Arabidopsis thaliana: one gene and its partner. The protein of the gene in region 1 interacts with the protein of each later gene in a biochemical or structural test. Each region holds a gene or a part of one and is shown on either strand. Other genes may lie near its edges.

Region 1 (3,753 bases):
TCTAATTATATCCACCATTGGATTTATTTCAATGATCACATTGTTGGACATCTTTTACATAAAAAGATACAACATAACAACGTGGTGGTACAAGGGACTTCTATTTGTTGGTTGTATGGTTGCAAGTGTCTTGATTTTTGGAGGTCTTGTGGTTGTTTTCTGGCATCGCTGGGAACACAAAACCGGTGAAGTGGAAGCAAATGGCAACGACAAGGTAGATTTGAATGGAGAAGAAACCCATAATCCATCTGCAGCAGAGCTTAAGGGCTTGGCAATAGAAGAAGATGTCCAGAATTACACCACTATTCGTTATGGCACCAGACCGGCCTTTAGAGGTATACACTACAAAATTAGCGGTGTCAAGTCCAGTTATCTCGTTTTTTTATTTATAAAATTATAGAAACTGAAATCATTCGGAACGGTTTGACACGGTTTCGTTCGGTTCTTGAATCCGACTTTTGGTGTAGATATTTGGCTCGATTCGGTTAAGTTAAATCTTTGATTGGTTCATGTAATATTTTTATTTTGTAATTGCAGAGATATTTGAGTCATTGAATGGGAAATGGGGGAGTGTGGATGTTGGAGTGATAGTATGCGGTCCAGCGACTCTTCAGACGACCGTAGCCAAAGAAATACGGTCACATAGCATCTGGCGATCGGCGAATCATCCTCTTTTCCACTTCAACAGCCACAGTTTCGATCTCTAACGATGCTTTCAAGGCCAAAGAACATTATGGAAGGAAATTCGAAGACAAATTGATGCATATATTTTAGGTAATCTCTGTCAGTATGTACTATGGAAACAGCTATGGTTGATATGTGTATGTTTATCTTTCAGTTTTCGATGTATAAAGTAGAAATCAAATGTATGAGCATCTATGGTTTCTAGTTCTACACTTGTTGGTGTTTCTACATTGGACATTTAATATTAATTAAATGCAAGCTGATAAGTCCTATAATTACATAGCTGCCCATATATTTTCGGAATTTTTTAAAGTAGAGATATATTCATATATATATGAGGGATTAGATTCTATAATTACGAATGTATTTAATTTCAAATTAAAAGTTAGATTCTCATAATTCTCCTTACTTACTCTGTGAGGGATTAGAGTCGTAAAAATGACCACAAGATGTAATTTTTTTTTAGGTCATTGATCTACCATCAATTTGTCGGACACACTTATCTTATAAGTTTTAAATTTTAACAAATGTAAGTGAAATTTTGTGGTAGACTATCATTTTCAAGTAGAAGTAGAATTTAAGTAACCTTCCTTGTTATAATTTTTTTTTAAAAATTATGTCATTACTTAGAGCCCACCAGAAATGATGACGTGTAAAACACCATAATCATAAAGGATAAAATAAAATTATCATCCCACCGACAGTTTATTAGCGGAGATGTCTTTTTCCATCCACCCGACATTAGCCCATTGCTTTACTAGTAAACAAAGTATATGCAATTTTTTGTTAGAAAAAACGGTGCATAAAAAATAATATTTTAATGTCTCCGACAAATTTTAATTGTATGAAAAATAAATACACAAGATTACAAGTTGGCCAAAACGCTCAATCATAGTTGGCCAAAAATATACTATTCCAAAATTAGAGTTAGCTGTAACGTAACATGTACAAATAAACCAAACAAAACATATAATAACAAAATAATTGAAGTGAGTTTTAAAAAGGAAAAAAAAAAAAGAGTAAAAAACCAAAACCAGATCTCTCAAAGAGTCTTTGTACATTATTGACTAGAGAGAGCTTTTTAGCTTCACATTTCTTCACTTCCACACACTTTTACTTCTTTCTCTCTTCTCTTCTCTTCTCCAGATCTGATCCCAAACCTTTGATTCATTGTTGTTGTTCTCTGCTGCTTTATCAGAGAGCATCATCATGTACGGAAGAGATCCATGGGGAGGTCCATTGGAGATAAACACTGCAGATTCCGCCACCGACGATGATCGTAGTCGGAATTTAAACGATTTGGATCGTGCGGCTCTTTCACGTCCACTAGATGAGACGCAGCAGAGTTGGTTACTTGGTCCAACGGAGCAGAAGAAGAAGAAGTACGTCGATCTCGGTTGTATTATCGTTAGCCGCAAGATCTTCGTCTGGACTGTTGGTACTCTTGTTGCCGCCGCGTTACTCGCCGGATTCATTACCTTGATCGTTAAAACTGTGCCGCGTCATCATCCTAAGACTCCGCCGCCGGATAATTATACTATAGCTCTACACAAAGCTCTTAAGTTCTTCAATGCTCAGAAATGTAAGTGTAGAATCTACTTAGATCTGATAAAATTTAGATATAGAGTTTTAGATCTAAGTCTGATTTTGATTGTTGTAGCTGGGAAATTGCCAAAGCATAATAACGTGTCATGGAGAGGTAATTCTGGGCTTCAAGATGGGAAAGGTGAAACAGGAAGCTTCTATAAAGATTTGGTGGGAGGTTATTATGATGCTGGTGATGCTATCAAGTTCAATTTCCCCATGGCTTATGCTATGACTATGTTGAGCTGGAGTGTTATTGAATATAGTGCTAAATACGAAGCTGCTGGTGAGCTCACTCATGTTAAGGAGCTTATCAAATGGGGAACTGATTACTTTCTCAAGACTTTCAATAGTACTGCTGATTCCATTGATGATCTTGTGTCACAGGTACTTGTTTATGACCTTCGTAGGAGATCTTTCATATTGAGTTGTTTGTTCACTCGTTACATGTTTAATGTAGGTTGGATCAGGGAATACTGATGATGGAAATACAGATCCTAATGACCATTACTGTTGGATGCGACCTGAGGATATGGACTATAAAAGGCCCGTGACTACTTGTAATGGTGGATGTTCGGATCTCGCTGCAGAGATGGCAGCTGCTCTGGCTTCAGCATCTATTGTATTCAAGGATAACAAGGAATATTCTAAAAAGCTTGTCCATGGTGCTAAGGTGGTGTATCAGTTTGGAAGGACGAGGAGAGGGAGATATAGTGCAGGCACTGCGGAATCTAGCAAGTTCTATAATTCAAGTATGTATTGGGATGAGTTCATTTGGGGTGGTGCTTGGATGTATTATGCTACCGGAAATGTAACGTATCTCAATCTAATCACCCAACCTACTATGGCCAAGCATGCTGGTGCCTTCTGGGGTGGCCCTTACTATGGTGTATTTAGCTGGGACAACAAGCTTGCTGGTGCTCAGGTCAGTCCACACATAACAACCTGCTGTGTTTATGTTTCTTAGATATTCATGTCTTCTTGATCATTTGCCTTAACCATACTACTCTTGACTCTTTTGAATCCCTTTTGCGATTTTAGTTGCTGTTGAGCCGGTTGAGGTTGTTTCTGAGTCCTGGATATCCATATGAAGAAATTCTAAGGACCTTCCACAATCAGACCAGCATAGTCATGTGCTCATACTTGCCTATTTTCAACAAATTTAACAGAACCAATGGTTAGTTACCTTCCAGCTTTAATGTCTGCCTCTAATAAAACTCCAACTGTGGGGCTTGTTCTTGTTTCAGATATCTAAAATGAAATCTTTGGTATGTGCAGGAGGTTTAATAGAGTTGAATCATGGAGCTCCACAGCCGCTGCAATATTCTGTAAATGCAGCTTTCTTAGCGACTCTATACAGTGATTATCTGGATGCTGCTGATACTCCTGGATGGTACTGTGGACCTAATTTCTATTCGACAAGTGTGCTACGTGACTTTGCTAGATCCCAGGTATTGCTTCTTTTCCTTTACTCTTTACAGAAAT
Region 2 (3,753 bases), on another chromosome or scaffold:
CTCTCCAGAAACCTGTGTATAGAAAAAGGTCATGAATCTATTGAAAACAGACACAACTAACAACATCTATTATTATTTCTTAATTTGGATGACCATGTACTATCAGAAAAAAATTCTGTTAAGATTTGTTCACATATAACATTAACGTGAATAGTAAGTAATAAATGACCACTCTAGGGATTTATTGAGTAATACAAATCACTCTAGAGTCTAAAGGGAAAATGTAGGTCCCTACCGTATGGCCATGGGTGAGAAGAGGAATTGGTTGAGATTCATGTCTAGAGGAAGAAGAAAACTCTTCGCCATGGCGTTGGTGTCTCGCCTTGTTAGCTCCCTGGGCGTAATTGAACTCATTCTCGATATCATCAACATCATCCTCATCTTCATCTCCTTCAACACGAGGACTCCCTGGAAAATTCCAAAAAATTGTTCAACACAACAGCAAAGAAACAAAAAGAGAAAATCCATATATAGCAATTGCCAACAAAAAGAAAAAGACAACTGACCCCTGTGTCGTCTGAATCTAGTCTTGCATTGAGGGCAACACTGAGTTCCATCTTTCCTCTCGTACTCATAGCAAGGCCGACACACAGGGAAGGCACATTCATTACACGCGACAAAGACATCTCCAGTTTCAGCGAGTCCAACATCATCACCACAGATCTGACATATCTGGCCATTCATATTCTTCAAAGGTTTGGTCTGCACTTTGACCAACATTGCATCATTGTTAGTCATTGAGTATTAGAAACTACAGAAAGAGATGAGCAAGGATCTAAATCAAAACAATCAATGCAGATCTGAATTAAGGCGAGTCACAGTCTGTATCCCATGGCGGGAACTAACGAGATCTAGTTGAGCTAAATCTCAATAAGTAAAGCTAAACTTTAAGAGTCAAAGATTTTAGCTTAAAAAAGTTAACGAACTGAAATCCACCGACACTTTCCATAAGAGATTTTAAGAAAACAGATGCGGCATTAATTGATATAGATCACAACAATTTGAAGAATTGGAGCAGAAAAGTTTCCATTTTCAGACACTTACTTGATCAACTGACACTAACTAACTACACAGTCAAAGGAAGCGAAATCTGAGTTTCAATGATCCAATTATGGATCCAAAAGAGACGAGATTTAGAAACAGAGAAATCTAGATGAGATCTACACATCAAAAATTGTAAGAACGAAAAACAATAACAAAAAAATGGGAAAAAGGGAAGATGAACAGACCCCGCCATCAGATTCATGTCGGATCCGAACGAGCTCGTTTCTCCGGTAGGATCCAGCAACCAAGCCGGCACTGGCCTCCATCGCAGCCACCGACACACAGAGAAAGAGAGAGATTCACAAAATTCAAAATTGGGAAATTCGTAGCCGATTCAATACGGCATCTCGAAAACCCAAATCTACTAAAAAAGGATGTTCACACACTCCTCTGTCACTCTCTCTCTCTATTTGATATCTCAAGCTGCTTCTTCTTCAAATCTGCTTTTGCCTATTTTATCGCAGAGTGATGTGTTTTTTCTTAATTTTTAAATGACAAGTACATTATTTTACCGGAGATGGTGACGGTAGTAGTAGCCTCTTCCTCTCCCACCGTTTTAGCTCAGCTCGGCTCTATTCGGCTCAAGTTATCATCTCTCTACTTTTTAAAGTGAGCCGTTCTGGCTTCCCCACTAGACGCGCCAGCTTCTTAGTATGTGACGTGGCAAAATCTTATTGCAAGAAAGAGATAGGACAAAGTATGATTGTTTGATTATATTAAAAAAAAAAAAGAAGAAGCCACGTTGTTGTTGGCTCTGGTACCAGCCTGTTCTTTTTTATTTGCTATCACCTGTCGGTGGACTCAAAATAACTAGTGTTGATTAGGTTCTAATTGTTAGCTTAAGAAGTTACGGGCGAATTCGCAAATAATTTTTAAATGGATGCCACTTCTTTTTTTAATCCCATTTTGTTGTTATATTTACAAGTTTTAATTCAGTATACAGATTTCTGAGTTTTAATTCATTTTTTGTGTCAATAAACTTTTAACAAAAAAAATTCCATTAAGAAATCATTTTAACATTTTTATATTTAGTGATAGTGATAATGACGGTGGTATAGTGATATGATATATATGTAGGAAGAAATCGTAAATTATATTGATTATCCAAATAAATAAATTACGATGTCGTTGTTCTAAAGTTTGGTGACAAACGTCACATTTAGTTATGCTTAATTTTATGAAAGTTTAATTATTGGACCAAAACCAACTCCGCAACGAATAATGGAAGTTAACATTTGTCGGCAAATGGCAACAAAGAAAAAATGTCGGCAAACATCAACAGAAATTTTTAACAATCTTGGAGCATAATCAAACAAACATACGCAAAAGACAATGCTTATGTTTTACAGAAGTAAACTACTTACTCTCTTTACCATCTCTTCTCAGTAAAAAGAACAAACACTTAACTTAAGGGTAATCATTATTCATTAATCATAGGCTACTAATCCCTTTTTCCCACCTGGGCTATTATCCGAGGATGTCGAATCCGACTTCGATGGAGACCTTGCCTTGGATGGTGATCTTGACACTGATCTTGCTTTCCCCGTCCCAATGGGAGATTTTGAATATGACTTTGATCTTGATCTTGACCTCGATGGACTCAGGCTGTGGCTAGCGGATGGTGACCTTCTCTTTCTGTAAGGTGGAGATCGGCTACGGATAGGGCTGCGGCTGTACCGCCGGTTGCGATAACAGAGACCAGGCGATACTGAGCGGCTTCTTCTTCTATACCTGAGCATACTTTCGAGTTGTGAAATCAAGAATAATTCTTTTGGATCACCAATTTTAGTTCCATATTCATGAAACTTTTAGATGTAAAGAATCAGCTGAAACAATGTACTAAAGAGGATAAGTACCTTGGAGGTGTTCTTCCTCTTAGTGGGCTTCTGAACCGACTTGGCGAGAACCTTCTGCGACTTCTAAATCTACAGAGAAGACGTTATAAAAAAGACGGTTCAGTACGAGAGTGTGTAACAGAAAGGGGGAGTTATATTATGTGTGGGCTATTCACCTGTCACGGTCACTCCTATCACTAAAGCGATAAGGAGATCGATCAGGAGATGGACTAGTTCTGTATCGACGGGCGTATGAGAATCTTTGGCTAAATCCTCTCCCTCTCCTTATGCGCCCATTAGGAGAAGCACTTCTTGACAAACTTCTTCTGCGGTCAGGAGGAGGAGATCTAGGCCGCACACTCCTTCTCCTTGCCGGAACTGGACTTCTGCTAATTCTTCTTCTTCCTCTAACAGGACTCCTGCTGATACTTCTCCTGGACAATCGAATAGGACTCCTGCTGATACTTCTTCTGGACAATCGAATAGGACTCCTGCTCACACTCTTCCTAGATGATCGGACTGGACTCCTGCTGATACGTCTCCTGGATGAACGAACCGGACTTCTGCTCACACTCTTCCTAGATGATCGGACTGGACTCCTGCTCACACTCTTCCTAGGTGATCGAATGGGACTCCGGCTTAGGCTTCTCCTAGACAATCGAGTGGGACTCCGGCTCAGACTTCTTCTAGATAATTGAATAGGACTCCGGCTCAGGCTTCTTCTAGAAGATCGAACTGGACTTCTGCTAGGTGATCTTCTTGACGATCTTCTTAGTGGGCCCCTCCCAAGGCTTCCACGAGATGCAGATCTTACAGGACTCCGGCTAGGGCTTCTGGCAATCCTACCTCTCACTGGACTTCTGCTGATGACCCT

What was found. Proteins that work in one complex are often made in the same cells at the same time.
Region 2: the proteins of GH9A1 (region 1) and CESA1 form a complex in vitro, tested with the Arabidopsis thaliana proteins (one study listed by BioGRID).

Annotation. Positions count from the first base shown.
Region 1 is NC_003076.8:20,198,309-20,202,061, reverse strand, and holds the start of GH9A1 (glycosyl hydrolase 9A1), read left to right. Parts: upstream 1-1,593; 5' UTR 1,594-1,893; coding exon 1,894-2,266; intron 2,267-2,344; coding exon 2,345-2,655; intron 2,656-2,728; coding exon 2,729-3,193; intron 3,194-3,309; coding exon 3,310-3,445; intron 3,446-3,546; coding exon 3,547-3,719; intron 3,720-3,753. Other genes in the region: FRO6 (ferric reduction oxidase 6), read left to right, coding at 1-335, 538-707. UniProt on the Arabidopsis thaliana protein: Required for cellulose microfibril formation. Involved in cell wall assembly during cell elongation and cell plate maturation in cytokinesis. Required for secondary cell wall formation in the developing xylem.
Region 2 is NC_003075.7:15,645,079-15,648,831, forward strand, and holds the start of CESA1 (cellulose synthase 1), read right to left. Parts: upstream 1,767-3,753; 5' UTR 1,311-1,766; coding exon 1,230-1,310; intron 703-1,229; coding exon 507-702; intron 409-506; coding exon 236-408; intron 13-235; coding exon 1-12. Other genes in the region: AT4G32420 (Cyclophilin-like peptidyl-prolyl cis-trans isomerase family protein), read right to left, coding at 2,472-2,775, 2,901-2,969, 3,056-3,753. UniProt on the Arabidopsis thaliana protein: Catalytic subunit of cellulose synthase terminal complexes ('rosettes'), required for beta-1,4-glucan microfibril crystallization, a major mechanism of the cell wall formation. Involved in the primary cell wall formation.